Linked DNA regions of Neodiprion lecontei. The protein of the gene in region 4 interacts with the protein of the main gene of each other region in a biochemical or structural test. Links are inferred from orthologs where the notes say so. Each region holds a gene or a part of one and is shown on either strand. Other genes may lie near its edges. The genes, in order: ubiquitin-conjugating enzyme E2 G1, ubiquitin-conjugating enzyme E2 C, ubiquitin-conjugating enzyme E2 H and ubiquitin-like modifier-activating enzyme 1.

Region 1 (8,952 bases), on a different chromosome or scaffold from region 4:
GGAAGTCGAGAAATTTTATTAGCGGACTGACAGCTACCGAATTCGGGATTGCGCGAAAAACGAATTGAAATAATTTATTGTAAACATGAACGAGGAACCACGGAGCGCTTATCCTGGAAGTCGAGAAATTTTATTAGCGGACTGACAGCCACCGAATTCGGGATTGCGCGAAAAACGAATTGAAATAATTTATTGTAAACATGAACGAGGAACCACGGAGCGCTTATCCTGGAAGTCGAGAAATTTTATTAGCGGACTGACAGCTACCGAATTCGGGATTGCGCGAAAAACGAATTGAAATAATTTATTGTAAACATGAACGAGGAACCACGGAGCGCTTATCCTGGAAGTCGAGAAATTTTATTAGCGGACTGACAGCCACCGAATTCGGGATTGCGCGAAAAACGAATTGAAATAATTTATTGTAAACATGAACGAGGAACCACGGAGCGCTTATCCTGGAAGTCGAGAAATTTTATTAGCGGACTGACAGCCACCGAATTCGGGATTGCGCGAAAAACGAATTGAAATAATTTATTGTAAACATGAACGAGGAACCACGGAGCGCTTATCCTGGAAGTCGAGAAATTTTATTAGCGGACTGACAGCTACCGAATTCGGGATTGCGCGAAAAACGAATTGAAATAATTTATTGTAAACATGAACGAGGAACCACGGAGCGCTTATCCTGGAAGTCGAGTTTCACCGCGTAGCGGACCCGAAGCGCGGGATCCGGGAGGTTGAGAACCCGGTACACGAAATTTGCGGAGCGCGACTCTCACCCGTCCGCTCTACTGCGCGGTTGTTTCCCGACTGAGGAATTCGGCTGGCTGATTTTGAATTGGTGACGTCACTTTCTGAACATCCGACATCCAAACTTTGGTTTCGACCTTTAATACTATGTATGATGATGTATGATGTATGATGTATGATGTATGATGTATGATGTATGATGATATGATATGATGTATAATGAGTTTAGGTTTCACATTTCATACAAGAAATACACACTTTATCTCTCCTGCCGATTCCAGACTCAAGCGGCCAGGCCCTTCGATGGTCAGCCGTTGACTGAAGATGTATTCTTCAGTGAACGGGTCGGCTGATAACGCTGCCGTTCTGCGACAGTTGGATGATGAAAAATTTCGCTCGTATCTTTCAAATGTGTGTTAAAATACACTCGAAGTGTTGAGAAGCGTCGTTCTTTCTCTCCCTATCACCTTTTTAGGTCTTTAAATCACTACGCAGTGTTAAATACTGTCTCATATACGAAGCATCCATTTCATCTCGTTCAGAATTAGCGCATCCGTTATGTATTGCAGTTACTCTGAATTTTTTTCCATCCGAATACTTTTCGAAAAACAATTCCGCTCCTCCACCCAACGCAGATGCTTCACTTGCGACCAGCTAAAACAGCGTTTCGATTCTATGCCTACGAAAATTCGAGATCGAGAGAGCAAATGAAAAGTTGTTGGAATAATTGTGAATATTGATGTTATGGATTACATGAAGTGCGTGTCGAATCGAATTCCATTTCAAATTAAATAATTCTTCTATTTTCAAGTTATAGCCGATTATTGTAGATAATGTAGTTTGTCCTCCTGGAAAATTATAAAATTTTTGCGCCTGTCAAATAGGCATCCGCCCATACGCTGACGCAAACATGTAACTCGCTAGGCGTTCGGTTTAGATTTAACCTGCATACGGAGAATTTTTACGGATACATAACATAATGAATTAGCACTTGAATTAGAGACAGCTAAAATGTAAATGTTCTAGACGAATTTTCATGAACAAGTCGATCGCTCCTAAAGTGGGGGCCTTATATCCAATAAGGTCCATGATGGGAATTTGTGGATACGTCGTTTGATCTTGAAAAAATAGATGTTTAGTTTAAAATCTCTGAATAAGGTATTTTTGGACAGTTTTATAATAGGAGGCTAGTTAATTAGTCAATTTTCACTGCAGACAACACTTCGTTGATGTAAAATTTACCCGTGGGATTTGGTGTGTTTAAGGACTTATGCGATGGTGCATGGAAGATGCATCGATGGTATCATCAATAAAGAAGTTACCTGTAGTTACCGGCTCGATTAATGGGGATGCCGGTTTTCGGAACGCTTGGAGAAAACTCTACCTGTGTGTGATCTACTCGTGGCAACTTCTCGCTATACCGGCGTCAACTAGCGATGACTTTGCGATCCTTCGACTTCGAGCATATACTAACGAAGGTAGCTCTCATGCCGTCAACCCACGCGTCAACCTCGCCAAAACTGCAGCCGAAATGATGCGTGAGAGAACGAATTTACTCGTTACAGCCTGTGCTCTCATTCTGCATCTGATTGGCTGGAAGGAAACATATTGGCCAACCAGGTGTAGAGCGAGAGAGGTAGGCTGTAGTGAACATATCCTTATTCTCTCTCACTTCTCCGCCATACTTTTTGTGCACGCGAGACTACCCACAGCAGTGTATGCTCCAAGCCTTCGGCAAACGGTATAGTGTAATAATTGTCTGTAGTGTGGCTAGCATGCTGACGAGGCCCGTTCGAGCTGGCAACCCTGTGCGCAGTACCGCTTCCGACGTACCATCTTTCCCGTGAAGCAAGAGTGATTGTTTTCAACTTTAGTCTTATTTAACACAATTTTTATTAATGTCAGAGCCACAGTCTACGCTTCTACTAAGAAAACAGTTAGCAGGTACCCTAAATATTATTTAAATACATAAATGCAAGGCGTGAACGGTGAATTGTTCGTAAAAAATGCTTGGTCATTTTTAGCTACGAAACGGTCGACCTCGCCAACACGGTCGATTCACATTTCTTTGTCAGTTGTGTCTATCTGGGAATATCTTTAATTAAAATCCTACCGAGTACCGCGACGTACACAAAATTTTGATCACAGATCCTATAAATTCCCGGCGTTAACTTGAGCGCAAAAATCAATAAAGTTACACCCGTGTACCCCTGTGAATAATGCTAACCTAGCATTTCGTTTTCTACCAGAGAACTGCCCAGGCCATGCGCCCTGACGTGAAATGCGTCACGAAGATTACCGTCTGCTTATTTTTAGCCTTTGCGTGCTCCACGTATTACGACGCGACCTTCTTCGTTTAAAAAAAACGCCATAGTTGACTCGAATATCAGTTCCCAATACAAACAATTTTTTCTCTTTATTATCTTCTACCTGTTCCTCCCTTCTCCTGGTCCACAAGCATCGTGACAGGAGTCGACCAATTCACAAGGTTGGGTCAATCTCTGGAGAATACCTCTGATTATTATTAGTCTGCAGTCATCTCCACAGAATCTTTTGAACGTTCACTTCCTTTGTGACAACTCGTCGTAATTTCACTCATTCGTCCGAAAATATGATACTGCATACGAATATGAAAAAATAAAAATACGAATAATAAGTTATTTCGAGTACTGTAAATTTTATCCAACCCGTCATTTGCTAGAAACAAAATTTTGTCAATCTTAGATAGATTAATAGTACTCACTTTACACTATCTCTTGACTATATATTCGTAATTATATTCTATTATTATTAAAGCCCAAGAACCTGGTATCTGTTTAGGTTTATCATTTCGTACATTTAAAATTCGGATCGTCTAGGGTCTTAATGTATATAAATCATTTAATCAATGGTCAATCGGACCAAATTGAATCCCATTATGTGTGACAGTAGATTTACTTATTGCCCTGCTTGATTGGGAATTAATGTAAAGCACGCTGCCTTTGTATTCATTACAATGTATCCATACAGCACTTGAAAAGAGACGGTTAAATGTTTCCTTTCACTTGATATAATATTTGACAAAATTTGAACAGCATTCACATCTCTGAGCAAGAAGGCAGCTGCATCATGTGGAATTAAATAGATGGGCGCAAACTCGCATCGATTCGATCCATTTGTTGTCTTAAACAAGCTGATCTGTGCTTGAGTTTGATTAATTTTATAGCTGACGATAAAATGTAATCCTATGTTTATTGGGAATTTTCTGTCCAATTTCAGAATTAAATAAAAACCCAGTGGAAGGGTTTTCAGCAGGCCTCATAGATGATAATGACATATATCGATGGGAGGTGCTCATCATTGGACCTCCGGATACATTATAGTAAGGATTAACGTAACTCTTTTTGTGGAATCTTTTATATCTTCTCATATTGTTATTTGGTTCAGTGAATTATAATGAAATGATGCTTGAAAGTACGAGTTCCCACTTCAAGAAGCTGAAATTTTGAAATTTTTTCATCAATCACTCATGCTGTATACACTGTATTATGAATAATCAAATTAATATTGTTTTTAAGTTCAAACATTTTTGAAACATTATTTCTGAAATGCCTTTTTTCTGCATTTATGATCTTCGATAAGAAATAACAAGATAAGGCAGCAAGGATTATTCAACTGCAAAACTGTATCTTATTTTTCATTCAATTATTTGTAATTTCTTATCTTTTATCTATTTATGATTTATACCGACTCCTTGAAATAGTACTTACCTTACCGGGTAGATGAATAGATACATAATAGCTCTATTGTTGTCTCAAAAATATTTGTACTTGTATTGGCAAGTCCTAGTTCTAGTCTAGGGAGTCTACATTTTTTACATTGCATCAGTCTAATTTAAGTAGTTCACTTGCTGCAATTTATTGCAAGGAAGAGTTAGAATAGATGAATAACATTTATCCTTTTCTCATTTCAAGTGCATAATATGTGTGAATAAATTTCTTTTTACAGCGAGGGTGGTTTCTTCAAAGCGCATTTACAATTTCCTAAAGAATATCCGCTGAGGCCGCCAAGGATGAAATTTATAACAGAAATATGGCACCCTAATAGTAAGTTGTTTCGATTTTTATTTTTAATACAGTTATAAAAAAAAATGTATCTTTATAGTATCATATTAATTTTGACTTGTAATGAAGCTGCGAAGAGTATAGTAGTAACCAAACTGAATTGAACTGTTTGTGGAACTATGTAACTTGCTCGCTGAAATTGACTATAATTGAGATAGATATCCTTGTAATGTATTTGGACACAAAGAATAATGATTTTAAATAGTTCCAAAAGTATTGAATTCAATTAGACACTCAACATTTTCCAAGTTTTAAGTTCAACTTGGTTTTTTAACAGTCGAAAAGAATGGCGATGTGTGCATATCGATCCTTCATGAGCCAGGCGATGATAAATGGGGTTATGAGAAAGCATCAGAGAGATGGCTGCCTGTTCACACAGTTGAAACAATTCTTATAAGTGTCATCAGCATGCTCGCTGATCCTAATGATGAAAGTCCTGCAAATGTAGATGCTGCTGTGAGTAATATTTTCTGCACTGTGTAAATATTAATATTGTATTTAATAAAACAGTACTTGATTCATAATTAAACTTGTCAATGTTTACAGAAAGAGTGGAGGGAAAGTTATACAGAGTTCAAGCGAAAGGTGGCAAGATGTGTTCGAAAAAGCCAAGAAGAGTGTTTGTAGGGGAAGAACGAATATTCAAACGGAAAGACTTATTTAATTCTGGTATGTCATATAATTTTTAACAGTAAATTAATTACTATGAGATCAAATCAAAAGCACGAAACAAACACAAGACAAAAACATGCGACCATATGGCCTTAAACACGTTATACATTTCCCCGACGTTACGATTGTTCTGAGGTCTACCATAACCCAAATTATTTTTGTTCTATGACTACAATTAATTTTGGTCTTCAAGTTGTAAAATTAAAATCATAGTTTCAGGACTGTTATTATCGTCATATGTTTCATGTCTGTAGGAAATAATGGGTAGTATAGCATCAAATATTCTGGACTTATCTCCAAGATCCTTTCCACGCATTTTAAACTATGATCAAGAATTCTTCATTCCAGTACGTAGTATCCGTTCGCAGTAAAAGAAACTTGCCAATTTGTTAAAAGAACAAACCCTTTGTTTATAACATACCTTTAATTTAAACACCCAGAATTATTTTACCATAACGTAAGATACGTCAAGTATTGAATAGTTTACATGATTCGTCTGAAATGTTTTGTCCCTCATTTTAACGTGCATAATATTGTAGTGTTCTCGTTATTGATTAGTTAGTGAAATATGTTCATTTCCCAGACTGCTGGATCTATAAAAAGTGGAAAAAGAAGTAGAGTTGAAAATGATTGACGAATTTGGTTATATCCACAGGGAAACCACGCACTGTATGGCATAAAACCAAGCGAATCATGCGGATATTGGAATACAGTGCCACTGAATACGGATTAGAGCAAACCTGGGCGAGATACCTCGTTAAGCTCTGTTGAGTCGCCGAACCATCAACAACGTACGAGCCATCGACATGAAAAACATGAAAACACACACAGCTCACCTTTCACACGATGAACTAATTTACAAATATACATAATACAAATCATCTGTACCAATAATACCCTAATATTAATAGTGATTGTAAACTTAACCCCCCTGTCCCTCCTGCCCAGCACTCTGTAATTTAAAGTATGTTTACGTTTATCACTCAACAATATTCCTTAGCGTCGTTTCATATTTTCTTACTTTCGTATTATAAATAAATTTTTGTAAAGTCGTAAAAAAAAAAAAAACAAAGAAGCAAGAATCGTTGACGTAAGCCAGTAAAATACAATGTGAATTACATTTATATCATTATAATTACCGATACCAGACGTATAATTGCAATGATTGCAATATATATATATATATATATATATATATATATATACTCTGTGTGTGTGTGTGTGTGTATATATATATATATATACATATATGATATAAATTTTTGCCGAACCGTAAGTTGCCAAAATAACGAACGCTAGTTAGAGTAATGATAATAATGAATAACAATAATAATGGTAATTATTAGTTGAATTAATGTTAAGTGCACACGTACATGCTGTGAAACATTGTACTCGCTCTTCGTCACTATGGTGGCCATTTATCCTTCCCCACCTCTCCGACTTGCGGTTCTACTACAAAACTTAGGTTGAAATTGAAATAATTTTGTCCAACTATATATAATAATATTGTCAATTAAATTTTAAAACAATGAATTTTCACGACTTATCACTTTTTTTTACCTTTTTCTATTATACATTATACAGCTATCGTTCTGTACATTGCCGTAAACAATCTGGTATTTATTACGAATGGTTTAAAATGATCTGTGCTTATGTCGTTTGAAGTAGTAGAAAAGTAGGAAAGTATATGTTGTAATTATAATATTGAATCGGCGTGACTATAAACTGAACTGAAAAAGAGAGCCAGTAATGTTTTTATAATTAAGAAGATCCGTGGAGATGAATGTATAACATCGTTAAAGCACCGATTTGACTAAATTGATAAAATTAGACGTGTCCAAGATAAAATCTAATCAATCCGTTAACTAGTGGAACGAAGTAGGCTCTTCCTTACATATTGTAACGCTGATTTTACTGCGATCAAGAGTTAATTACTGAATTCCAATACTGCATGCAGAATGTTCGGATTTTACGGCAAAAGAACTGTTGAAGAGTGATCGAATTGAAAATCCTTGGAAACAGAAGCTAAGATTTAAAACGGTGAAATTATTCACTTGTAAGATTTGTAACAAATCTATGAATAAACAATAAACTAGCCTACAACTAGCTAGCGAGTGTTAAATACGAGCACGTTCTTTGTTCGTCCTGTTGTGGATTTTTTATTCCACATATTTATCACACCCTTTATCTAATTTAAATTATTACCTGCTTTTAAATTTTACAAAAATATTAGGTGTTAAATTTTTGATATAGTTTCTGTTCGAAGTTCGGCGTCAAAACTCAAAGTGTTACTGATTGAGAAAATGTTCTCACGTTATGCACATCACAGTGATCTATGAGCGTCGGATCAAATCGTACAGGTATAAATATCCAAGCTCTTATTTTACCCATGTGACTGACGTTTTGACGTCTAAAATTGTTATTAGACGCTGCAAAATTATCAAGAAAATATGCAAAGCCCATGGTGATTAATCGGCTAGCATATCTTCAAGTGTTGAACGGCTGCAGTAAAAAGGTCAATTAAATTTAATCGCGGCATTGGAATCAAGCATGCATCGGTTTTTCTATGACGTCACTTTCTAATTGCAAGTCAAAAGTCCCCATCAATTAATTTCAACGTGAAATAACAAACAATCTATTCGCTCACTCTACCTACGGATTGATTCACAACGAATAGCGATGTTCCTAAACACGGAGGTATACGCTATTCGACGCAAGTCAGTAGGAAAAACAAAGTTAACTTAACGAATATTTCACTGAATGATCGATATGCTCACCAATCGCTTGATTACCTCCGAGGAATTATTTCGAGACCGAACATGAATTCGTTATAGTCATTTAGTTGAACAAGAGTATGAATAATGTGGTTGCGTTGCAGAAGAAATCTGCACGCATAGCGCGAGTGATTATTTGAATGAGACTAATGTATAATGTGGTCGGAGTTTCTAAGTTCATGCAACGATTTTGCGGCACCGCAAAAACCAAGTACATACACACTTTGATAAGGAACAAGTTGTTTCGTTTAATTAGACCACCGCCTTGCTAAGATAAGCGGTGCAATTTTATTACAAAAAGATTTCTAAGTAATATAATATTATGCTGTCCTGAACGCCGTCTTTAAGGGTTAAACTTGCAAGAAACATTCGGCCGCGATCTGATCTCCCACGCAGCATCTTCAGATTTTGGCATTGTCGAATGTCTTTCTATTTGTAGTTACAATTAGGATTATACCGCGGTTGGTCGCGTCTTTACGTAAGGTATATATATATTTATATTACGTACCTAGCACTGATTGTAATCCAGTTATGTCACTTGTCGTTATCCGCACTTCCGATCCTTGGCCGGCGCCCTTCCGGCACCTTAACAATCTTGCACCCGAAGACGATATGACGAAAATTAGAAGTTTCAACCCAAGCTAATATCG
Region 2 (6,838 bases), on a different chromosome or scaffold from region 4:
CCGCGCGTTGCTTCAACCTCCCAACGAAAGACTCCGTGTTTCGCAACGGTGCTGGAAAGAGAAAAGAAACGAAACGGAAGTAAATTAGTGGACAAGAACATGAGGTAAAACAAAAATGTGTTACGTGTGCAGGGTAATTAACGTGAAACGCATATAATATATATAAACAATAAAATATTTATATACGAAACACAAATAAATGATATATATATTTCGTAAGTCAGATTCATATATGCCTAACCTAATATTATACAATTTAAGACGCATATTATAATAATATAATACAGCCAAAAAGCAGTGGATCCACCAAGCGATTCTCGCTTAATAGGAATGTTTTTCCCTTACTTTTCAATCAAACTTGTTCTACTACATTGACAATGTAAAATGAATTCACGCACTTTGACTGTACCACGTTGTACATCGTTTTACATTAACATTAAATAAATAACATGAATCATGATAACAACGATGATAATAATTGTATTAGATTATATACACGTGAGTTAGTAAGGTGTCGTTATTTGAGGTGCGCATCGTTACCGTCTGAGTCTGGATCTCCATCGGTAACATGACTGTCCACGGGCAAAGGTAAAGGTAATATTTCAGGCTGAAGAGGCGGTGGACCTGGCACAATGTCTTCGACGATAACTTCCTCTGCTAGGCTACTCCTTACAGCCTCTATCACACGACATATAAAAGAATTGGGCAAGTATAACCTAAGTAAATTGTAATTTGAGTAATTTAATTTGATGTAACATGTAATTTATTTTTTTATTGGTATGTACGAATTCTTGATTCGAGTTCATTCTCTGTTTCGTTCCTTGAACCAGATTATAATAACAAACAACACTATGGGTCAAATATTGCTAAGAATGTATTAAAGATCGAAGGACATAACTAACCATTAAACGCCTGCGGATATTGTTGGCTCAGTTTCGTCTTGACCACTCGAATCCGCTTGAAAATGTGATCCAAATCTCGTTTCATCTCTGCTAGCAATGTCGTGTGTTTCTTAAACTCGGCTCCCGCAGTCTTCAAACGATTTATCGATAGCTGATTGCAATTTGTTAGCATTTCGTTCGTTTTCTCGAATCTTTGGAGCCTGAAAATTGAATCAAAATAATTATCACTAAGGTATTTAATAAAAATAAAAAAATCGGCAACGAAGCACTCGAAATTAAGTATAAGAAATTTTCTTTCAACCAATAATTTTTAGAAATCAGTGACGTATTTCAAATTTTGCGCGTTATGCGGACGTTTGGCTAAAAAATCGATAAGCGGGGGGGATAAATACACAACATAACCTCATGCCCCGATCGAGCTTATACTTAAATAAATATTTATCCCATATCCTCACATTTGTTTCTGAGCACGAATCATGGATTCTACATCTTGTTGATCTACGATGCCAGCTAGACCTTGTACGAAAACCTCCGGGGCTGTGTAATTTTGAAAACACTCAAAACTTCCAGCGTCGGACTCGGGCGTCCCTTGGATGGCCGCCATTTTTACAACACGCTTGACAGTTCGACTACTCCGTGAGCTCAACCCACCGTTCCACTGCTCTGAGACAATACGCCTGGCGCAGCAGCCGACTGCAATTCGGTAAACACCATCTGCGTCATGCGCAGTCGCTATTGCGCAGCTGTATTCGACAATCGAGACTCGCGTGGCGATATCTGTTTTCGAACGAATGGATAGGGTCGCGTTTCAACGCTTCAAAATTTGAATTGCCCTGTGAAAAATGATTCGCCTGATTCGATCAATGCATTTTGCATTGTCTTACATCTGATTATGAGGACTGCATCCACAATGTGTGACTCGAACAAGAAAATATTTTGTGAAATATTCCCGAAATGCAAATAGGGCTGGACGTGGCTCCACTTTCTAAAAAAAGTTATTGGTAGTGAGGACTCAAGAGCCAAGAGACGACTAGGTCCAGCAGTTTTCTGGTAAATGGTAGAGAGTGCAAATCGATTGTGTGCCCTGAAAGATCCAGCAATTCAGCGGCGTTAGTGTTTTACGACAGTGAGTAAATTTTACTTGTTCCATTTTTTCAACTATATTCAAGTGTTTATTAATAATATAAAGGTTTCTTGAGTTACGTATATAAATACGGCGTCATTTATGCACATATACTTCGAAGTATACGGTATGGCAGAAAGGAGCGCAAAGGAAGTACGTTATTATTTACCTAATCGAGAGTTTCAAAATTTTCATGAGAAAATACAGATACTTTATACGATAGTTTAGACTTCTGTTCAGTTCTGACGCTCGGGTCTCATCTGGCATCAAAGTGACCTTTCACGCTTTTCTGGAAAAAATATTGTATAGAGCACGCCCGTATAGTGTTTTTAGCTCGAAAAATGATTTTAGTACTCACGTTTGTTCCGTCTTTAGCTCGTACTTAAATCACCATCTTTATCCTAAAAACACCCACATACCTACTTGAAAAAAAAAAAAAACGCTGGCTGCTCTAACATTTGTAGTGAGGTTGAACGGAGCACATATAATTCATTCAAGTTTAATAACTGCACTGTCAGTAAGTGTCACAGTAAAGATTTGTGTTAGTATTATTATGTTTTCAGTAATTTTTCGATTCGGTGATCAGGAAATTAAGGACAAGTTTTTTAGCACTTTTCGGAAAGGTTTGAAACATACTGTCTATGAGCTAATTTTTCATTCTTGAGCAATGAGTTGAATCTTTCAGTTCTTAAGTTCACGAAAGGTAAGAAATAAAATAGAACCTTATAGAAATGAGGAGTAATGCGCTAACGTCGTTTCCTAAGTTTGTAATTCGCTGAATCTCAACAAGTATGGCCGTGACTCGTGTCAAAATACGGTTACTCAGTGGCCATGCTCTGTATTATCCATTGCTTTCGTGATGGTAAGTCGAGCCTGTTACCGACACGCGTTTACGACTGAAAATTAGTTTCAAAAATTTATTTCTTGTTAGAGGACGCTAGTACTGATCACTGTAACCGTTCACCGGTGATTTACTGTAGGAACCGCCGAGTATGTGGAAGAAATATGTAATACGTGTTATATTAATTTGTTTTCAGTCCGTCCTATAAATAAGTACGAAATAAAGGTTTACAGTTTTGATTTATTTGTACAAAAAATACGATATAACGATTTATTTTCATAATTCGCGGAAGGAAGTCAAACTACTATCCATATTTACAACAAAGCCCGTGTTTTTACTTCAGAAAATTCCATTCTGGATGAAACTAAAATCAAAATACAAATTATTAATATACAAACTCAATAATCTATATGGGATTTATGTTGATTAATAGTTGTTTTGACTTTCGATGTATTTAAGAACGGATAATAACATGGGCGCATTCAAATTTTCACTGTTGACTGTTGTGCTTGTGTCGGTTTTCGGTTGGTAGACAAAAGGAATTCTTTATCGTATTAGCGGATCTGGTATAGTTGGGAAATGGCACAGAATATAAACCCGTTCTACTCGTCTCAAAGTACGCCTAACAAAGCTAAGGAGGAAAAGCAGAACGTCCCAAAAGACAATCATGCAGTGAGCAAAAGGTAGGTACAATCTCTACCTCAATTTTCCCAGCCCTCGCGCAGTATCGACATTCGGTCAAACGGAATTCAATTACTTACGTACACACTTGGTATGATCAAACTGGGGATTCCACCGCGTTTTTCAGCCCCATAACCAAACTTTACTCCCATTATTTCCAAATCCCTCACTCACGCCAAATGATATGCTCGCGTTTATTTCACAGGCTTCAAAAGGAACTCCTAGTCCTGATGACCAGTACTGAAAAAAGTGTATCTGCCTTTCCAGACGGTGAGAACCTTTTCAAGTGGATCGGAACCATAACTGGCCCACGAGACACGGTAAGGTATTCTTGTACCTCACACACAGTTTTTGTCAAGATAAAATCTCTTCGAGTAAAAAATTTAAAACCAATGTACGAGGCAATGGTGCTTCGAAAAAATTATTTCCAGACTTTACGCTCCTTACACGATTCCCGGAAAGTTAGTCTGCTCGATCATTCTGTGTTTCGAGATATTTTGTATACTGTTCAACGTGTCTTGTGACAATCTAGAGATAACCCAGTAGCTGGAGGTCTAATTGCGAAGTTGATTGATCGCTAAGCTCGATTGAAAAATAAATTCAAAAGTATTATATATTATGAATTGTTGTCCAAAGTCAGGCATGGTACAAAGCGTGAGGCCATTCATTTACAAATTGAATGAAAGATAGAAAAGAATAGCTTATCAGAATTAAATTGACAATAGGAAATTTCCAATTAGTTTTCAATGCTTTCCTATGATTGTGATGTTTGAATCAAGGTAAATATTATCGTACAAAGTCCTGTTTTGTTGGTTTAATGCGCAATACTGCAGTAACGGAGTAATGTATATAATCTAATGTAATAAACAGGTATATGTGGGGCTGACGTACAAGCTGACACTGGAGTTCCCACACAGTTATCCGTACAGTGCTCCGGTGGTGCGCTTTGCTACCCCCTGCTTTCATCCAAACGTCGATTCAGCCGGTAACATCTGTCTGGATATATTGAAAGACAAATGGAGTGCGTTGTATGATGTTCGTACCATACTTCTATCTATACAATCTTTGCTAGGGGGTAAGTGTTTCAAATTATAGTCATTGATTTGTTGCATCCTCGTTTTACAGATAATAGGTCTGTAAAATCTATACCAAATATGAAGTATGTTTTTTTGTTTCAATTTATAAACTGTCTGAGCTTTCTAGAAATATATTTAATTACGTTCGCATGAATAATTTGTCTTTCCTTGGTTTGTTTTCTGTAGAGCCGAACAATGAAAGTCCACTGAATCCTCAGGCCGCTGAATTGTGGCCGAATCAAACGGAGTACAAGAAACATTTGCACGAAGAATATCGTAAAGCTCCCAGTCATGCCAATCAGGACTCATGATAAACCTACTCTTCCACACTCCTTTATCGCTCTATTACCACTATCGTAATTCTCAGTACAGTTAAAATACACGTACAATTGAGGCATGCGAGAAACACGCATTATTATGACGAATATGTACCTACGACCTTTTTTTTTTTTTTGTTTTCGCTACCCTAACTTTACTTTAGTAGACATACATACGAATGTTGGTCACGTTTTTGACGTAATAATAAAATTGTAATATGTAATCGAAACCTCTTCAAAGAACAAATTAAAACTTTGTGATTGTTAATAATTCACACCTCTACGAGGTTTCTAGTAATATAGTGTGATTTACTTTCGCGTAAAGTGAGCATGTATACAAATTCATTTATATAGGGGACTGATCTCAAATACACGCCGTCTACATTCATAATTTTATTATTTGTTTGATTTTGAATAAAAACAAACGTTTATTTATTTTATATATGTAATAATAAATATAAATATCTAATATCTTGGTACAACAAGGCGCTGACGTATATAACGTTTACATTTGTGGATCATTTTCAATTGGTTTATTATTGTGTAATGCTAAAATAAATATTTTAAGACCATGCATATACTTTCACTTCATTTTTCTATTGTTGAAGCAAATTATGATGATTTGTCGATGTATGTACTCAAATTCTATGGTTTCATATTGCTTTGAATTTTCTGCAGTATGTAAATTCCAGAGATTCGGATTTGAATAAAATTAAATATTCAAATTTCGGAAAACTATACGTTGTTAGTAAACAACGGCAAATTTTATACGTTCATCTTGTGATATTTTACTTATTTGACTTTTACAGACTCCGCGTGATTAACTATTGTCTTACATGTGGATGAGAAATAATTTAACCAAAATAAGTATCACTACAGAATTCAGTAGCTGAATAATTCCGTTACATTAAAATATCGGGGCTAGCAGTGATCATATAAAGCCCCCAAAAATTTTAAAACATCGTAAACAGTGAAAAAATTAATTGGAAATAGCGTGGAAAAAATTCTCCGAAGAATTATTCTAGCATTTATTTTCTTTGTCACTTAATTTTTCGTACCGACATATAACGGTCACAGCCGCTAATTCTAAATTTAAAAATATAAATATGGAAAGGTGATGTTTTGACCGGCTTATGATTCCTTCTTTTCATTAGAAAGGAAAGTTACTTAAACGTTTAAAATTATCATTGACAGTAATTTACAAAATATATTTAATATCTGCATGAATATAAAAAAGATTTTAAAAATTAAACTCGAATATTTTTGTGCGCGAGCTCGCGTGGCGCGATATTAAAAGTAAAAACGCACAAAATCAAGTGAATAGTTCGATACGAAATTTTTTTTAGTATACTACAGTAGGCAGTATCGTATAGTTATTGGTGTATCAGTTTAATCCAGCTGCGTTAATTAGCAGTAGGATATGCTGTCATCTGTGGTGAAGCAAGTCGTGAATGCATTCGTTAAAAAAATACCTAGCAACAAGCTAATATTTACTTCAACGATGAGAAACATGTCAACGAATTTTGAGGTATGGTAAGGCGAGAAAAAACATGAAATACGGAGAGGTTATGTATGACGATATTATTCCATAGACATATAAGAATAGACCGCGTGACCGGGCTGAGAAGTTGGTAGCGGAATAGAAAGAGAAAGTTGCATACGGGACCGCTCTGTTTTCGTCTAGTCGCGCATGCGCGAACACGTGTAACACTGCGAGGCCAACTTTTACAAGGTCAAAGCCAAAGAATACGCACGCAGAACAATAATCGCACGATTTTTAAAGGACAATAATTTTTTTTTTAAGTATTTTCAAATTATTTATAAGTATGTAATAACCAAAGTCAAATGAGTCAAAAAGAATATTCGTGCAAGATAAAATAATATTTTTATATGTTATG
Region 3 (6,822 bases), about 30 Mb from region 4:
CAGAAAAAAAATGAGGAAGAAAACGCGTTTTTAATAATTTGAAGACAGAACTTTTAGTATTGTGTCATTACGTGCGTGTTTGATAACGATACTAGCAATTGTCATAATTGAATTGAATTCTGTTACATACATTCTGTTAATACATTTAAAATCTGTAAAAAAAAAATGGACGAAACTCATATTTCATAGTTAATTCACAATTTGTAAAATATTTCATTTCGGAAACGACCATATATGTATCGTATGTTTTGTAATATATTTTTCTTTCATCCTTGATAAAATGGAGGAAAAGAAGAAAAACGAAGCTATTAAATATCCGAATTATGAAATTTTGTAGTCTTGTAATTTACGTAAATTAACGTCAACCGTTCGACTAACACACGATGGGTTAGGTTAATTTATATTCTCTACCGGTAGAGTAAACGAAGTGACTTGAAGTGACAAATTAAAAGAACATCTAGCACTTCAATGATTCCGTACATTGGCTGTTCGGCGTTGGGCAACAGAAATATTGCCAATAATAATTACAAAACTTGTTTTGTGTTTCAAAGACCGCAAAAGACTATTAGTGTACGGCCTAAAAATATTACCTTAGTATAGCATTGGATTCCGAGCGCTGTCAACGATCCAAGTCGAAACTAATCGAAATAACGCTTCTCGGCGTGGGTTCTATTATTTGCTATCAATGGTATGAAAACTGATGAAAACCGAGCAAAAGTCTGAAGTGCGGTAAAAAATCCAGGATTTTTACGGAGAAATAAAATGTCCGATAGTCCTGAGACTGTTGGCCGTCAGCCGTATCTAACTAGGAGAACCTGATAAATACAAGGGGGCTATATTTAAATTGCAATTCATCATTCCAAACCAATTATCCGTTATTCCGAAATACGCTACAGGGTATTACGTCTATTAGGTTTACGGGTGGTAGGTTCGTTATAGCTTTTGCCCAACAGCCACCAATTTCTAGAAAATAATAGGGAATATTCGTGGGATTTGTTCGTACCCGTAATAGCTACATAGGATGTTACTGCACATGAGGAGTTCTGAAGGTAGCTTGCGTATACAGAGAGTGTAGCGGAGGAGTGAGAGAGAAAGAGGTATATGTTTGTTATAATCTATCTCTCTCGCTCCACACCTGATTGGCCGATACGTTTTCTCTAAGCCAATCAAAAGCAGAGTGAGAGACGCAGAGTAACCCTACACACGCCCTAGTATATATCTATCTCTCACTACTTCCGCTGTATTTTTCGCGAGATCGATGGGATGATCAGCTCTCTCCAGTAGTATATGCTCTAAGGTGGAGAATTCCTTCCCACCTGCTGGCAGCTGCTGGCGCCACCTTTCAAAACAAGTTTTGAAGAGAGGAGAGAGAAAAAGGACAGATACATGCAATCTGCGGATGGTGTGCGTGTGTTTGTGTGTGTGGTACACAAGCAGCCCACGATACTGCATGGATACATAGGTATGTCAACGTAGGAGTGCGCAGCGTGTTCGCGCGACAAAGAGCTACACGACCCCGTCGATTTGGAGAGGGATGGAGGCGCGCGGTGGTGGGATGCTAGGTGAAACAGTCAGTCAGATGCGCCAAGTCAGAGGGCTGACAGGTCGCGGAGTGCGAGTGTGAGAGCGAAAACGATGAGAAAACTGTAGTAGAGTTCTGGAATATGGTATATGTGCGACAGGCGAACTAGAAAGAAAATAAGACGAACAGGTTCGAAGTGCAGTAAAATTGTGTTGAAATCGAACTGGGTCGGGAAGGCATAATAAAGAAGAGCCCGTAGCGAATTTTGAAAAACCTCGCCTGCATACATAATAACTAAGGGAAAAACGGAGCGCGTATATGTGTATGCATAGATCGTCGCGTCGTCGTCGTGCATCGTGTGTAACATACATACGAACGTACACCGTACGTACGTCGGGTTAAAGAAAATCAGCCCACCAATCAATCCTCGTCGAAATGATTATCTAGCATTAGCGTAAACTCGTCGTTCTCCTGTGAGGGTTGCAGTGGAGTTTGGTGACAAAGAGGAATCGTTCGGTTTTACGCTACGTGCGGACTGACGGTTTTTTCAATAACCTAGGCCAGCTAGCTGGCTAGCCACTTCGATAATTACGTGGATCTCGTTGTCGGTAAGGGAGATCGCTTCTTTCTTCGATAGTGTTTTCTTTTCACAAAAAAAAAACAAGAAAGAAAAAATCACGTACACATATCTTCTTTCCGATAAATAGTATAGATAGTGAGGTATACATAACGCGACAACAAAGGAACGTCAACGAATCTCAATCGCTGTTGGTATCCTCTGGCTGCGCATAGGTTTTAAAATATACGCGTGCATACATTTGATGTATACATACATTAACTAACTCTACCCACACATGAATTACACATGAAACTCGGACGTGTTTTGTTTCTGGCTACGCAGCTGCTCGATTCTTTGTCTCCCTCTTTCTCCGTCTATCTATCCTTTTCTCGCTCACAATCAGCGGATCACCCTGCGTGAATTTACTTGCATTGTCGATCGTTTTCCCCGAGTCGCTTCGTCATCTTTAATTTTCTTTGCTTTAATTCCAATTCTCAATTTTAATCATTCTTCTCTCTTATCTACTTGGCTTCTGCGTCGCGACGTGTTTTTATACTCCTTAGTTCCCCTCCTCACCGCCTTACTTCACATCCCACCCCCCACTTCTTCGCCCACTCGTAGAACCGACCGCCCATGTGTATAAAGTTGTGATGACCGCAAGGTCTGCTGCAATTTCATGATTTCATCAAACCAGGTCGTCCTACCTTAGTTAATTAAACGACGAGAGGGTGATCAATTGTCCACCAAAGTGTGATTCAGTGTGCTCGGATTATAACAATTCACAAATTTACAACGTCAATGACAGTTCGGAACAACGTGAAGAATAAAAATAAGTGAAATAACCTAAAGTTCAGTGTGCTGCTGCGGGTTTTCGGAAAATCTGGCGAACCTGATTATTGAAATATTGCTAACAGTAGTGGAGGTGAAAAATACCTAAAGAATATATTTCTTTTTATCCGTCTAATCGTGTAGACAGTGTTAATGTTACGCCGAACAGACTGGAGGAGAAATATAATCCCCCCGATCGTGTTTACCGTCATCGTCGCTGTCACATAAGCAGACCCAGCACTCGATCGGCAAGCCGATCTACCGATACGATAAAAGTTTTGGATATTTATTTATTTATATTTTAATTTCTATTTATTTTAGTACATTTTTTTCCCCTTCGTGTTTTGGTTGTCGTCGTTGTTGTTGTTGTTGTTGTCACTATTAAACAAGAAACATGTCGTCACCAAGCGCTGGAAAACGACGTATGGACACCGATGTCATCAAATTGTATCCTTGACTCATAAAACATTGCCAGTATACATGATGCATAATATGTAACATACTGTAGAAAATAATAATTATTATTGACACACGTGTTATAAATTGCGATACACCAGACGTTGTTAGAGAATCCGATAAGTCATTCATTCGACGTTTCGTCAGTAACGCGTCCATCCGCATGCATCCACGTACCTTTACACATGCATACATACATAATACCTATGTGTAAAATAAATTATTCATTTTAACCATGCTCCGACCTCTCGTATATCCTTTCATACTTCCAATCACCATCGTCCTTCCTTTCTAATCGTCTTCGTTTTCAATGCGTGTAATTTCGTTCAAAATTTTCTCCAATTTCATCATCATTCACTCATGTTTCCTAACCAGTTTACATGCCCGTCGATATTAGGGGGCCCCAGTTGTTACGCCCCTGGTGCATCCCCTCCTCAACGCCGTCGCTAGTTCTCCATCCCTCCTTTTCTGTCTTTCTCCGTCTACCGCACAGCTGTTTTTAACAACCAGCTGATTGCTGTACACACGAACATGTATAATACGTGCCTCTTGTACGTGCACGCGTTTAAAAATTTTTATCACTTCAGAGGTCAGAAAATCGAGAGTAGTAAGAATAAGAAAACACAAATTCGACGTAATTTCTTGCAGGATGCATAATTTTTACAATTTGCAGATAGTTTTTAAAATCCTTGTTTCTTTTGGAACGAAGTTCCTTATCGCTCGTTCACCGTAGGGGCTAGGCGGAAAAAAACGACACCAAAAAACCGACACTTTTTGGCTATAGTGCTCGTTTGCTATAGTGCGCGCGATCTCCCTCTCTCTCTCTCTCTCTCTATTCCAGCGTGTGCGCGCGCTCTCTCTCTCTGTCTCAGCGCTTGGGGTGGGAGACGGCAGCAGCGGTCTCTCTCACTCACAGCGCACGACTATACTTCGCCCCTCTTTCTCTCTCCTACAGCGTACAACTATACTTTGGGCCGCAGCGCGCTCTCTCACAGCGTACGTCTATACTTTGCCTCTCTTTCTTTTTTTTTTTTCTTTTTTTCTGGCGTATTCCAAAAACTTTCTCTTTTCCCCCGTTCTCTAGCCTATTGAAAGTTTTCTCATTTTCAATTCTACGCGAGCGATTCAACTTTCATTTTATTTTCAACCTTTTCCGCCAAACCATGTTTTCGCGATAGTCTTCATTCTGTTTGTTTCGTCATTCTATCACTTTTTGCTTTGCTCTCTGCCATTTTGAAATCGATTCTCAGTTTTTTTTTTCTCTCTTTCACTACTGTTCGCGAAACTGGCGGCTGCGCTTTTACCCATCTCGTAACACGAATGCAGAGTGTATGTATGTATGTATATATGTTCAGGTAGATGATATTATACGGTCATACAGCTGTTCTTAAACAGCTGATTGAGCGGCTAGAATGTACATAATAAATATAACGCGCGCTAAAAGGAAGACGGCATATTAACCCTTGGAGTTACAGATTATTGTGCCGAGTCAACATTTGTAACAAGACAGTATTATATGTTTTTGGGATCGCTGATTACGAATCTGAAATTAGATTTCACAAATTCAAGATGGCGGAGCCAATATGGCGGCCTAAAATTTCAAATTTGACAGAATCCAGTTCAAAAAACTATGCAGGAGTCTTCGGGGTCGCTGATTAGATTCGTGGTACTGAATTTTCGAAATCTGGTTTCACATTCGTAATTAGCGACTCCAAAAACCCCGGGACAGAGTTTTTTTCTCCGGATTCTATTGAGTTTGAAATTTTCATTCGCCATATTGGATCAGCCATTTTGAATCTTTTAAATACAATTACAGATTCGTAATTAGCGACCCCAAATCTTATACTTTATGTTAAACATGTATATGTGTAGAAGGATGTTTCTTAGAAATCAATTATTCCTTCAGTTTTCAATATTTTTTTCAATCAATTTATTTCTAATAATAATAACTTACATTGTGTCGCAATAATTACTCTCGAGAATTGAAAACCTATTGGTATACTATTAGAAATAGTAAAAAACCGCAAAGAAACATGTTTTCAAAGTTCTCTAAATATACAAAAAATGGATATAAAATAGGTGGTAAGAATACTTACCACTACGACTCAAAGAATCAATTCGCGGTCGTCGTCGTCGTTGTTTTAGCACTTTGTCTAACGCAACGGAGATTTTCGTTAGCTTCTTTCCACAGTTTTCTCTGCACTCTAAGCTATATCATATGTATATGTTTATATATGCCTTCTGTTTACGAAGTCTCTGCCCCCGCTTTTCCCTCCTTCTCCCACTTCCACCCTCGTTCGTCGACCCTCTGCACATTCATCGCCATATAATGTGTTCGGTTATCATTATTGTTGTTATTATTATTACCTTATTCCATTTTATTTTCTCTTGTCGTCTTTCTTGGGTTTTTTATTTTATTTATTTTTTTTTTGTTTTATTCTTTTTTCTGTTTTCGCTCGTATATATTCGGGGTATGCTTCAACGTGCAGGTTTCTCGCTCCGCAAAGATCAATAACGGTTCTACAATTTTACACGTCGAATCGTTTTCTCTGCCTGTTCTTCAAGCCAGTTACCTCGATTTTGGATGGGGCACGACTTATGCTAGTTCCGCGAGGTAGCAAAAAACGAAACATAACAACACTTCCCTTGCATAATGCGTGCGGTGATGTCTGCGGCAGATTTAACAGTTCTTATTTATTCATTGAATTATTTATTTTCTTCTTTCAATTATCAACACCTCGCGTACATGCAGTTCAACCGTGTTATGTTTAGTATAATTATTAAAGGAATAGGCAAACAGTCGCAATGTGTACAAACATGTAACGTATCATGTCATTTGGCAATTTTAAATCAATAAACCGAACTTACGTTTATTTTTTTCGAATAACTTTTACGGTATACACGTACGCATGTATATTATACACGTGATAACTACACGACGTGTTATATACCCTTAACTATGATACGTCAACACTTCTTTATCGACATTCTGCGGTACGCGATTTTTAAAATACGCTAAAACGCTGGGGTAGTCGATCATTATTGTTCGTTATTATTGTACAACGATATGAAACAACTTTTCTTGCGGTCCTTGAGACAAGAGAGTTTTTCATACTTCCGAGAAAATATTTTATTATTTTACTTTCCGTTTTTTCTTCAAGCTTTATATGTATAAACATATTTTGACTCACAGAATCAAATGTTAAAATCGCGAGTTTAGTTTCCGGTGAAAAATGAATCGATAATTCGATGGTTTCGGAGTTAGCAAAGAAAATATATAATAATTCACCCCGCTTGTCCTCCTGTCCACCCTTGTCGCACTCACAACATCAATCATTATTTATACGCTATACCCATCGGAAAGATATCGTCATTCTGAGTTTGAGAAACGCTCAAGTTTTTCATTTTCACAAACGTATATCAATTCGATGTGACCCCCGCGCTGTCGCGGGTCAAG
Region 4 (9,205 bases):
TCATCCTCTGATTCCATCTCTTTTTTAACAGGACTTTTCAGAAATGCTTTAGCATCTGGTTTAATTGGACTATCTGGGAGCTGAGTAACGACAAACAAATTGATATATAATCACAGAAGTATGTCTGAATATTTGTACAACATGGCTCACTAGTGAATATTGAAAACTTACTGCCAAGTGAACGTCGTCGTCACTAGAATCATCCTGAGGGATTATTCTCGCTCGTTTTTTGGCGCTCTGATTAATTTTGTTTTTAGAATTACGATTATCATTTTTTGTCGTGGTTCTCTTGGGTGTAGTTTTCTTGACATCCTCATCTTTGACAACAGATTTGTTCTCATTTTCTTTTCCTAAATATGCGAGTGAAAGTGGATTTTTCTTTTGACCATCTTTAATCTTCACATTTGAAGATGATTGAGTTTGAATTTTTACTCTGCTCTCTTCTAGTTTCTTTACTATTTCTGGATGCAGTGTATTACCTTTGAAATTAACTGGAGCTGTAATTCAAGGAATTTCACATTGGGATGTAGAAAGTAAAATTGAATCGAATCACTCCAAAACAAAACTACAAAGTCTAGTAAAGTTGACTAGAAGAAAGAGAGGATACTTAAAGTCATAAACACATCTATACATATCGTACCTATTTGTCTACGCTGAATTGATCCAGGAGATTTTTGTGACGATGAGGTAGATGGTGCATCGTTGACACTAGTACTGATTTTTTTCGCAGGTGGCGGGCTGCGAAAAGATTAAGTAAACAATTTTCAGTCCATGAACAATTTTTGAAACAGTGTAGCTCGGATAATAATCGTAATTCATTTACTGTCATATTACCTTATAGATTCAGTGCCATTAGAACTGTCCACTCGTTTCCTTTTAGCAACTGAAGGACTGTCGTCGTCATCTTTCTTCTTGGACAAACTATTACCGATATGTAACCAATTGAATGAAGAACACGATACACCGTTACTATCTAGCAGTCGTGTTAACGAGATAACCGGTTGCTCGAGGATAATGGTACGAGATTTAAACAGCGTGAAAATCACGTTAAACTTGAGCATATTCTTAATTATATCTAAATATATTCAATTTAGGAGGATTTTTACATTGTTGGTAGTACAAAAGCATACCTTAGCTCTGACTCCAGATCATTCGTATCAATTTTCGGCACACGTTTCGTGAAAAATGAACTGAAATCAAAAAATATCATCGACCAGAGTACATATTATAATGAATCGGTAATCATTCGTTTATTCACACCATTTTCTGGCGTGTTATTAATGAAACATATGCATTATCAACTCACGTGATAGACTTTTGCGCCATTTTCGCGCCGTTTTTAATACCTAACCTCAACTACCCAACCATGGAACCACTGTTGATGCTTGTCAACACTGATCCTAACCTTGACTTCCGATAAGCCAATTTTTGATTTTGTTTTCGGCTACAATCGGTGAATAATAATCATATTAACCGAAGAAATCATGTGATTCATTATTTACAAAAATAACTTATTAATCGTCAAAGTATTTTTACGATTCCGTCTTCAGCTTGGAGGCTTGAATCAACGCCGTGACGTCACAATCGGCATCCCCCTACCTCGAAAATATATAATACACATATTTCTAGCTACGAGTTAATCACTACATACTTATGACTACATAGGTATAAGTCATCTGAGGCAGGTTTTTCTTTTAATCGCAATCGTCTTATGAGTCATAAGTTATAATCCCAGCAGTCTTGCGCATATTCTTCACCAGACGATTGTTCGAATAAATGATAAGGGAGTTGAAGAACATAACAAAACAGAAATTGCACGTTATTTTCATACTTATATTTCGTATTTTCGTGAAATCCAAACACATCTATTTATTTATCATGGATCAAATAATACAATAAATATCCGCGTTATCCTAGAATAAACAAAATATTTTCCATTACTTGGTTTTTTTTTATTTATTTTTTTTCATTTTTACTTCGCAATATTTTATTTTTTTGTATTTTTCCACTATTATATGGTCTAAAAGAAGTTGATTATTTTTCTCCTCTTTTCCCATTCTCGAAACTTCTCAGAAAGATATTTTACAAATTTAAATGCAGTATATCTCGTAACAACAAACAGTCTTGAAGCCAATATTAATTATTATTCATTGTTTTTGAAAAAGATTTTATGAAGCGGATAAATTAAATCGTTAGTATTTTATCGCTCATAACTTTTTAAAATAAGATAGAGATATGATGACGGCGATTTCACAGCAAAAGAATCAATTGAATTCTATAAAAACTACTACAATCATCTTACACTATTGGCCACAACCATCAGTGACAAACGATGATGGCAAGATACAGTTTGCAATTCAGCTATTCAATATTATTCGACATGTATCTTTCGTGTAATTCGCTAACATTTTTCTGTACCAAACATCTTTCTTTAAACCTAATTTATCAATTTGCACTCGACAAATACAGTGTGTGAAACATCCTCCAAGTTTTCTTACCCACAAATCACATGTTTTGGCAAAAAAGTTAACTAAAAAGTTTTTATTGTTGTTAATTTCTGATTTCACAGATTCAGTAATTTGTTAAGCACTACGAAATTTTACGTTCCTTTTACTCTAATTCTTTTCGTTTGACACTGGTAAGAAATCATGAGAGAATTCCTGCAACTAGCAATAGCTAATAAGGATTACGCGAGAAAGCGGAGGCCAAACAAAATGAAATTTGCATTACAATCCGTGGGAGAAATATGTGTGGGGTCAAACGGTTAATAATATTTTTCCTGTATCGTATTTTAAAATAGAAATTTGTAGAAATCACTACAACTAATCAGTTAAGTAGATATTTCCTATATTATGAAGTATAGTCGCTGAGTCAGGGCAGTGTGTAACGTACGTAGGGAACCTCAACGTCGTTGCCATCACTATCGTTGCAGCAGAGTTCAAAAACCAAAGCACGTACATGAGGCTCGAGTTTCTTCTTAGAAACCTTTTTGACTACCTCCGACATAGGCAAGCCCATTCTCTCTTGGCACTTTGCTTTTGCCATGAAAAATGAATAGAGCATACAAACTCCCTGTGATAACATTGTGACCTCAAGATTATGCTTTTCTTTGAAGTAATCCAAGAATTCTTTCAGAGTTAATTCTCCCTTTACTTCAAAGCGGTCCCACAAAGTCCATTCCGTATCGTAATACTTCAATTTTGGAGCAGCAATCGGCTCGGAAAATCCAAAGAAAGGTAGAGCAAGATTGACGAATCCGTTCTTGTATATCGATAGGTCTGTAACACCTCGGGCTAGCTTGATAAGTTCGAGGCATACGAGTCCGGCAACGACGGATGTTGTTGTTGCAATAGCAGGTATAATTTTCCCAGCAATCAACTTGCTTTTATGCCTATCCGCCTGTGGGATTTTGTAGTTTGCTGCACGAAGATTTGAGGCTGCTACAATGAAGTCGATATGGAAGTTGGTGTCATCGTCCTTCTCAAACTCTTGTGGGTGAATGACGAGTCCGTCGAGTCCTTCGGCGTTTGCCAGCTCTTCTTGCAGCTGGTTCAGCCTATCGTGATCCACATTTCCACTTCCGTTGGAAACCTGAACCTGAGAATCAGTCTCTGCGATTTTCACACCTGACTTGGGTACAAAGTCTGGTACTTTGATTTGCGATACAATGCTTGCAATTTCATGGCGGTTGCGGATAGGGGATATCCCATAAACTGCTGCTTTCAAATTTGCCGTGGCAATGATATAGTCCAAATGCAAGGGATCATTCAAATCGAATGTCAGTGGTACCGGGCATCGTTTGGGACCTGACCAAAACGGTTGACCGCTGGTGGTCACTTGGTCAGGGGGGAAGTTGAACAACAGCTGTCTAATTTGGTTGCTGTACTGTTCTTGCCAGTGGCAGCGAGCCCACGCTACACAGTCCGTAAAAGATCTTGGTCTCTCGTCTATTAAAGCTGTTTTAACAGCTTCCAGGACTTCCAAGGGCTGAACACCAGGCAGCTTCAGAGTCCTCTCGATAAATAGAGGATCGGAGATGTGCTGAGCTGCGCTCTCCGCAGCCTGTTTGAATAGTCCTTCGAAGGTGTCTCTGGCCCACTGCAAAGTGTGTTCAATGGCATTCGGAAAATTCTTTAAAGTACAAATTGGGATGCTCTTCTCCGGAGGGTCTTGAGACGAACTGTAAGACTCCGTTAGGAACGGCACAACAACTTGAGTGTTTCCCTTGGTTCCCAGGGTTCCGGATTCAAGCAGTGGTTTTCGGTAATACACACATCTTCGGTCCATGTAAATTCTGGCATCCACATTGTCCAAGGCATTGGCGACTCCATCGAGTACTTCAAAGAACTCGTCGTTGTAAGTTTTCTCAGTCTCTGGTCCAACTCTATTCTCGTGGGCAATCACCTTCATGTTAGGATTCATGCCTTTAATTACTCGTGCAGCGGTAGAAGCCTTGGATCTTTGAACGTCCGTAGGTCTGAACAAAAATTGTCTATTCAAGTTGGATTTTTCAATTAAGTCCATATCAGTCACGGTGACGCAGCCATTTTCCGCACCAACACCCATCATGGCAAAATTCTTTAGCAATTCACAGCCAATTGCGCCAGCTCCAACGACAAAGTACTTGAGCGCCCCAATTTTCGATTGGAATTTTCTCCCAAACACGGCAACTTGAGAATCGTAACGAGTCCCGGTTGGACAGGCATCCTCCTCTGATAATTCCGACTTATCAGCGGGCAGGCATTCGATGGCGTCGAAGTAGAGCCACTGGAAAATTGGGGAAAACTTTCCGGAGCAAGCTTTCATGACTTCTTGAGCAACTACACCTCCGATCGTTGCATTCATGGGATTCAAATCTCCGGCGGAAACTTTGGCAAAAGTTTCTAGCAGCTCAACGTTAATCTCAATGTCGTTTCCACCATCTTCCTTCACCGATTTAGCAACAGCTACAAATTCCTGGGCATCTTCTTGATTCCAAGGGCGAGGAAGGCGTCCTTTAGTCTCAATGTATTTGTGCAGTGTGGTAAAGGCAAGATGCAGTTGTTCCGGATAGTCAAACTTGCCAAAATCAGTGATGAGGAACTCCGGCTCCTTCAGAGCCACTTTGAGTGGCTTGAATTCCAATGTTTTTGGCATTTTCACCTGAGTCACAATACCGCCTCTAATGTACTCCGAGTACTTTGTGGTATCTCCGATGCTGAACGTGTACGGGCCGAGCACCTTGATCTTCTTGGGTTCACAGCCGTTGAGCTCCGTGGTGCCTTGGATTTCGGAAAAGGTGACGTAATCTCCATCCTCCATGCCGTGCCTGCTGTCGTCGAGGCAGGTCACAATACCCTCGACGTCCCTGGATATACTGGCTACCATGGCGCTGATCGGAGGTTCACCGTTGGTATCTACGACGGTGAAAGAAGGGCCGAAGTCGCAGAAGACTTGGGAGAACAGACCACGAGTCTCGGCGATGATCAGAGCGATATTATTGGCGTGGGTTATTTCAGATATGCGTAGTTGCTCGGAAAGTGATGTGTTTGTGAGGACAATGACCTTGAAATTTTTAATATATTCCTTGGACAAGGGGCCGGCATAGTGACGAGTCGGGACGTAATTATTCAGCTCGGATAAATGGTAGCTGCAAGCCTCGGCGCGATTCTTTCCAACGTCAGACTCGGTCAGGTAAAACTGAGAGCCGAGGTCGGTTATTTGACAGACGGTGTCGTCGTGCAAGGTCACGGACTTTACGCCGCCGAGGATAACATTCTTCGCAATTTCTACACCCAGGCCGCCGAGGCCCGATATCAGAACGTCCGAAGACGCCATTCGGCGCATGGCATCGTGCCCGAGGACGTACAGCTGACGGGAGTAAAGTCCCTCGTCGATTTCGGCCGGTGCGCGGGAAGTCGAGCCATTTTTCGCCATCTCTACGATCGCCGTGGGGTTCTCGGCTCCTCCCGTAGTCGCAGCAGCAACGCGTCGCTTCTTGGCTGGGGGGTCAACGGAGCTCTCCACCACCTCAGCACTAGACATCGGACTTCAAGGAAGCAGTTTTATATATCTGTCGATTGTTTTCCTCGTCCGCTTGCACTGATAAGCCCTACGCTTCACGCGCAACACGTCTCCTCTCCTCTCCTCTCTACGACGTCCTTCCGCACCACCCTCTCTTCGCTCTTCCCTCTTCCAGCCCTTTCCCTCGTTCGCCGCGTTGATTTCTTTCCTCGATCGACAACGTGCACGATTGTATTTCGATTTACCTGCTTCACGTTAAGACAAAGACTATTCGTCACTAGGATTGGGGTCTCTAGCCCTGACGCACGCACAAGATGAACAACCAACCATACAGGAATGATTTCTCGTTCTTTCTTCGCTCCTCGGCCGCCGATTCACCCACTGCCTTCTCGATATCGAGTTATCGCAACCCTGCAGTCTGGACAAAAGTAGAACAGGTGATTCCATCTTCGTCCGTAACTACACGAACGAAATTTTGATTCGTCATTCTAAGTGACTACTGCGCCGTCTTACCAAACTTGAACCGTACCGTCAACTTTTACAGTAAATTCCTCCGTCAACGACTACGTTCAACTGAAGATAGACGGAGAATGCTAGCGCAGAGTTATTTCTCGTAATAATTTATCGGGTCTGATAGAGTTTGGGGTCAATTCTAGTGGCCTGTACTTACCGACCCGTCTTGTGGGATCCGATGTAGAGTCGGTATAGCAGAATGCTGCTATTTTTTCCAACGCCCTTCAGCTCATCGTGCACGCACGCTAAAGTCCGCAGGACTAGCAATTTTTATACACCTCGTCAACGGCGAGCGTACCTACGGACTTCCAGAGATTAAATCACTGATTTGAAATTTAATACATAAATCAATAGGATATTTTCAACTTTAGGATTTCTGTTATGATTCGGACCCCAATTCGCACAACTGCGAGTATGGCAGATGCTTCATATTTCTGCCAGTTTTTATTCGTTCTCAATATAAGTAATGTCAAGTGACTGCTCGTCGACTGACAAATATACAACGACTCGAGATATGGCGAACGTTTTTTTTTCAAATTTTTTATTTATTCGCCCCTTTTCAAATACTTAACGGTAGAGTTGCGGAACAATCACATAACCATGACGAATCGGTAGATCAATGCCTTTGAAACAACGAGTCGACCGTCTATTAACATACTGTTGTACGGACGAACTTGCCGCCATTCAATTTGAATTGCTGTTCTCTGAGGAAGCTGCCTTCTTATTTGCTCTACTGTTTAGTAAAATGAAAATTATAAAAAATACAAGATTCTGAGTAATATACGGTGCGGAGTAAAGAAAACTGACGACAACCACAATATTTCACAACAAACCTTCTGCATTTTAATTACGTATGTAAGCCACACCTACACTGTATTATAAATACCGCACTCCATTATCAACGATTCAATCTTTTACAATAATTAGTCAACTACCGGGTTAGCTTTACATTTACGTTCTTCAAAACGTAAGAAATTAGAGGTAAATGGTCTGCTATACCATTTCCTTAATTATTTCATCGGTTTACAGCACACCACAAATACGTACTTCTGCACACAGGGTAAAAATATCTCTTGTTGCAAAACACACTGTTTGAGAATTATGGTATAATCAATATACTCTCTCACTATGTTATATTCAGTTATCTAATATGTGGGTAAATGACGCTAAAATATAATATACATTTGATAATTATCGTCAAGTTTGAGCCTGCCCATTAGACTTCATTGTATACAGTTTTTTTCCACTGCCTGAAGAATATTCTTCTCGTTCCAACTCGAATTGCAGTAACTTCACAATGAAGTTTGCGCAAACTGAATTCAGTGCGTCACTACCATTTTAATTTGCCTGTGTGATTTTATATATATATTTTTATTTTATTTTGAAGATATTGCGATTTGATTTGGAAGAGTAGTTGTTTCATCGTTTTATCCAAAAACGTAAATTTATCGTCATAACTTGCGTTCTTCGCAATCCTGTTAATATCATTCAAATAAGTACATAAATAAACAAATAGTACTCTTTATGCATAATTATCATCCCTTTTTAAATATGTTATATAATTTATACTGTTCAAGTAAAATATCGTACCAAATTGCGACTAAAGTTATGCGGATAATTTCCTTTCTATACCTAATGCTTATTAGTTAGCGAGGTAGACAAAAAATGTGGATCGTCACCATCTAGCGAAACGAGACTCCCAAAAACGCGATGTGCGGGCAAACCATTAGCGACCTTAGTACCCGCCGAGCCAGGGATTTCTTGTCGCGGTCTTGATCCACGCGAGGAAACGTTCGAAGTTTCAATACCGTCGTCTAATTCCGGGGAAGTGAATGGAGATGATGTACGTGAAGCTATAACAGGAAATGCCGCGGTTGGAGCAACGGAATCAGCGGTACCCGGAGCCAAATTGTTACCTTCCAGGATCGGCCCACTTAAAACAGAGTCTGGAGTAGAAGTGTCGTCGTTCAAAGAATGGCTCTTCAACGGCGGATGGTTATCATCGAAATTTGACATCGCTAAGCTCCTTTCTTCCGGCACTGTCGACGTTCTTCGCAGGGTTGCACCTTTTCTGTTACTGTAATCAGGGGGAACGAAATCAGACTTGAGAGAATATCGTCGGGCATACTGGTACTTATTACAACAGCTTAATGAGAAACTTAAGTTCATTGGTTTATACCACAGGCACAGTGCATAAAGTTGAGCTTGAAGTATATTTCATGCTCGTATTGTGTTTGTCCTTTTTTTTTTTATTTTTAATAGTCTGTATTGATTTTCTGAATTACTTTATGCGTACTTGGAAACTGGCGTTACTACTTATAGATGAGACGTCTTAGTTCTTACTGGCTAGGGTCGACAGGAGACGAGGTTTGATCCGGACTATTAGCCACATTTCCATTATCCCAAGAGTTGTTTCTCCTGTGATGACTTTTGTCCTTGTACGCCTCTAGGATGTTATTAAAACTTCCTCCGATTCGTCGCTTGTCCAATTCTTTCAATACTTTTTCAGGCATTCCGCGAACCGAGCCGCCAGACGTTACTTCTCCACCGGTATTGTCCTGAAGTGAAAGAATTTAACATTCGCTACGCGGTAATGATTAATCGACTATAACATGCAGATACGAGGGGTTTCAGTGGCTTCTGAGACAGTTCTTTGTAATACATCTCTAGTTTAAAAACAAGTGGCACT

What was found.
Region 1: of the proteins of ubiquitin-like modifier-activating enzyme 1 (region 4) and ubiquitin-conjugating enzyme E2 G1, one has a biochemical effect on the other in vitro, tested with the Homo sapiens proteins (3 studies listed by BioGRID, with this or other methods). The link is inferred for Neodiprion lecontei from reciprocal best matches to the Homo sapiens genes UBA1 and UBE2G1.
Region 2: of the proteins of ubiquitin-like modifier-activating enzyme 1 (region 4) and ubiquitin-conjugating enzyme E2 C, one has a biochemical effect on the other in vitro, tested with the Homo sapiens proteins (5 studies listed by BioGRID, with this or other methods). The link is inferred for Neodiprion lecontei from reciprocal best matches to the Homo sapiens genes UBA1 and UBE2C.
Region 3: of the proteins of ubiquitin-like modifier-activating enzyme 1 (region 4) and ubiquitin-conjugating enzyme E2 H, one has a biochemical effect on the other in vitro, tested with the Homo sapiens proteins (3 studies listed by BioGRID, with this or other methods). The link is inferred for Neodiprion lecontei from reciprocal best matches to the Homo sapiens genes UBA1 and UBE2H.

The regions. Positions count from the first base shown.
Region 1 is NC_060262.1:29,978,494-29,987,445, forward strand, and holds ubiquitin-conjugating enzyme E2 G1, read left to right. Parts: upstream 1-2,524; 5' UTR 2,525-2,651; coding exon 2,652-2,697; intron 2,698-4,011; coding exon 4,012-4,114; intron 4,115-4,740; coding exon 4,741-4,838; intron 4,839-5,133; coding exon 5,134-5,312; intron 5,313-5,402; coding exon 5,403-5,483; 3' UTR 5,484-5,525; intron 5,526-6,183; 3' UTR 6,184-7,061; downstream 7,062-8,952. UniProt on the Homo sapiens protein: Accepts ubiquitin from the E1 complex and catalyzes its covalent attachment to other proteins. In vitro catalyzes 'Lys-48'-, as well as 'Lys-63'-linked polyubiquitination. May be involved in degradation of muscle-specific proteins.
Region 2 is NC_060262.1:40,788,148-40,794,985, forward strand, and holds ubiquitin-conjugating enzyme E2 C, read left to right. Parts: upstream 1-3,333; 5' UTR 3,334-3,445; coding exon 3,446-3,549; intron 3,550-3,752; coding exon 3,753-3,867; intron 3,868-4,417; coding exon 4,418-4,622; intron 4,623-4,809; coding exon 4,810-4,934; 3' UTR 4,935-5,516; downstream 5,517-6,838. Other genes in the region: kxDL motif-containing protein CG10681, read right to left, coding at 2-51, 541-678, 903-1,102, 1,358-1,506; valacyclovir hydrolase, read left to right, coding at 6,361-6,468. UniProt on the Homo sapiens protein: Accepts ubiquitin from the E1 complex and catalyzes its covalent attachment to other proteins. In vitro catalyzes 'Lys-11'- and 'Lys-48'-linked polyubiquitination.
Region 3 is NC_060264.1:30,549,102-30,555,923, forward strand, and holds the start of ubiquitin-conjugating enzyme E2 H, read left to right. Parts: upstream 1-1,562; 5' UTR 1,563-2,130; intron 2,131-2,136; exon of another isoform or gene 2,137-2,775; 5' UTR 2,776-3,303; coding exon 3,304-3,356; intron 3,357-6,822. UniProt on the Homo sapiens protein: Accepts ubiquitin from the E1 complex and catalyzes its covalent attachment to other proteins. E2 ubiquitin conjugating enzyme that transfers ubiquitin to MAEA, a core component of the CTLH E3 ubiquitin-protein ligase complex.
Region 4 is NC_060264.1:983,202-992,406, reverse strand, and holds ubiquitin-like modifier-activating enzyme 1, read right to left. Parts: upstream 6,563-9,205; 5' UTR 6,025-6,562; coding exon 2,872-6,024; 3' UTR 1,813-2,871; downstream 1-1,812. Other genes in the region: DNA ligase 1, read right to left, coding at 1-80, 172-350, 641-738, 835-1,061; kinesin-like protein KIF12, read right to left, coding at 8,149-8,593, 8,860-9,074. UniProt on the Homo sapiens protein: Catalyzes the first step in ubiquitin conjugation to mark cellular proteins for degradation through the ubiquitin-proteasome system.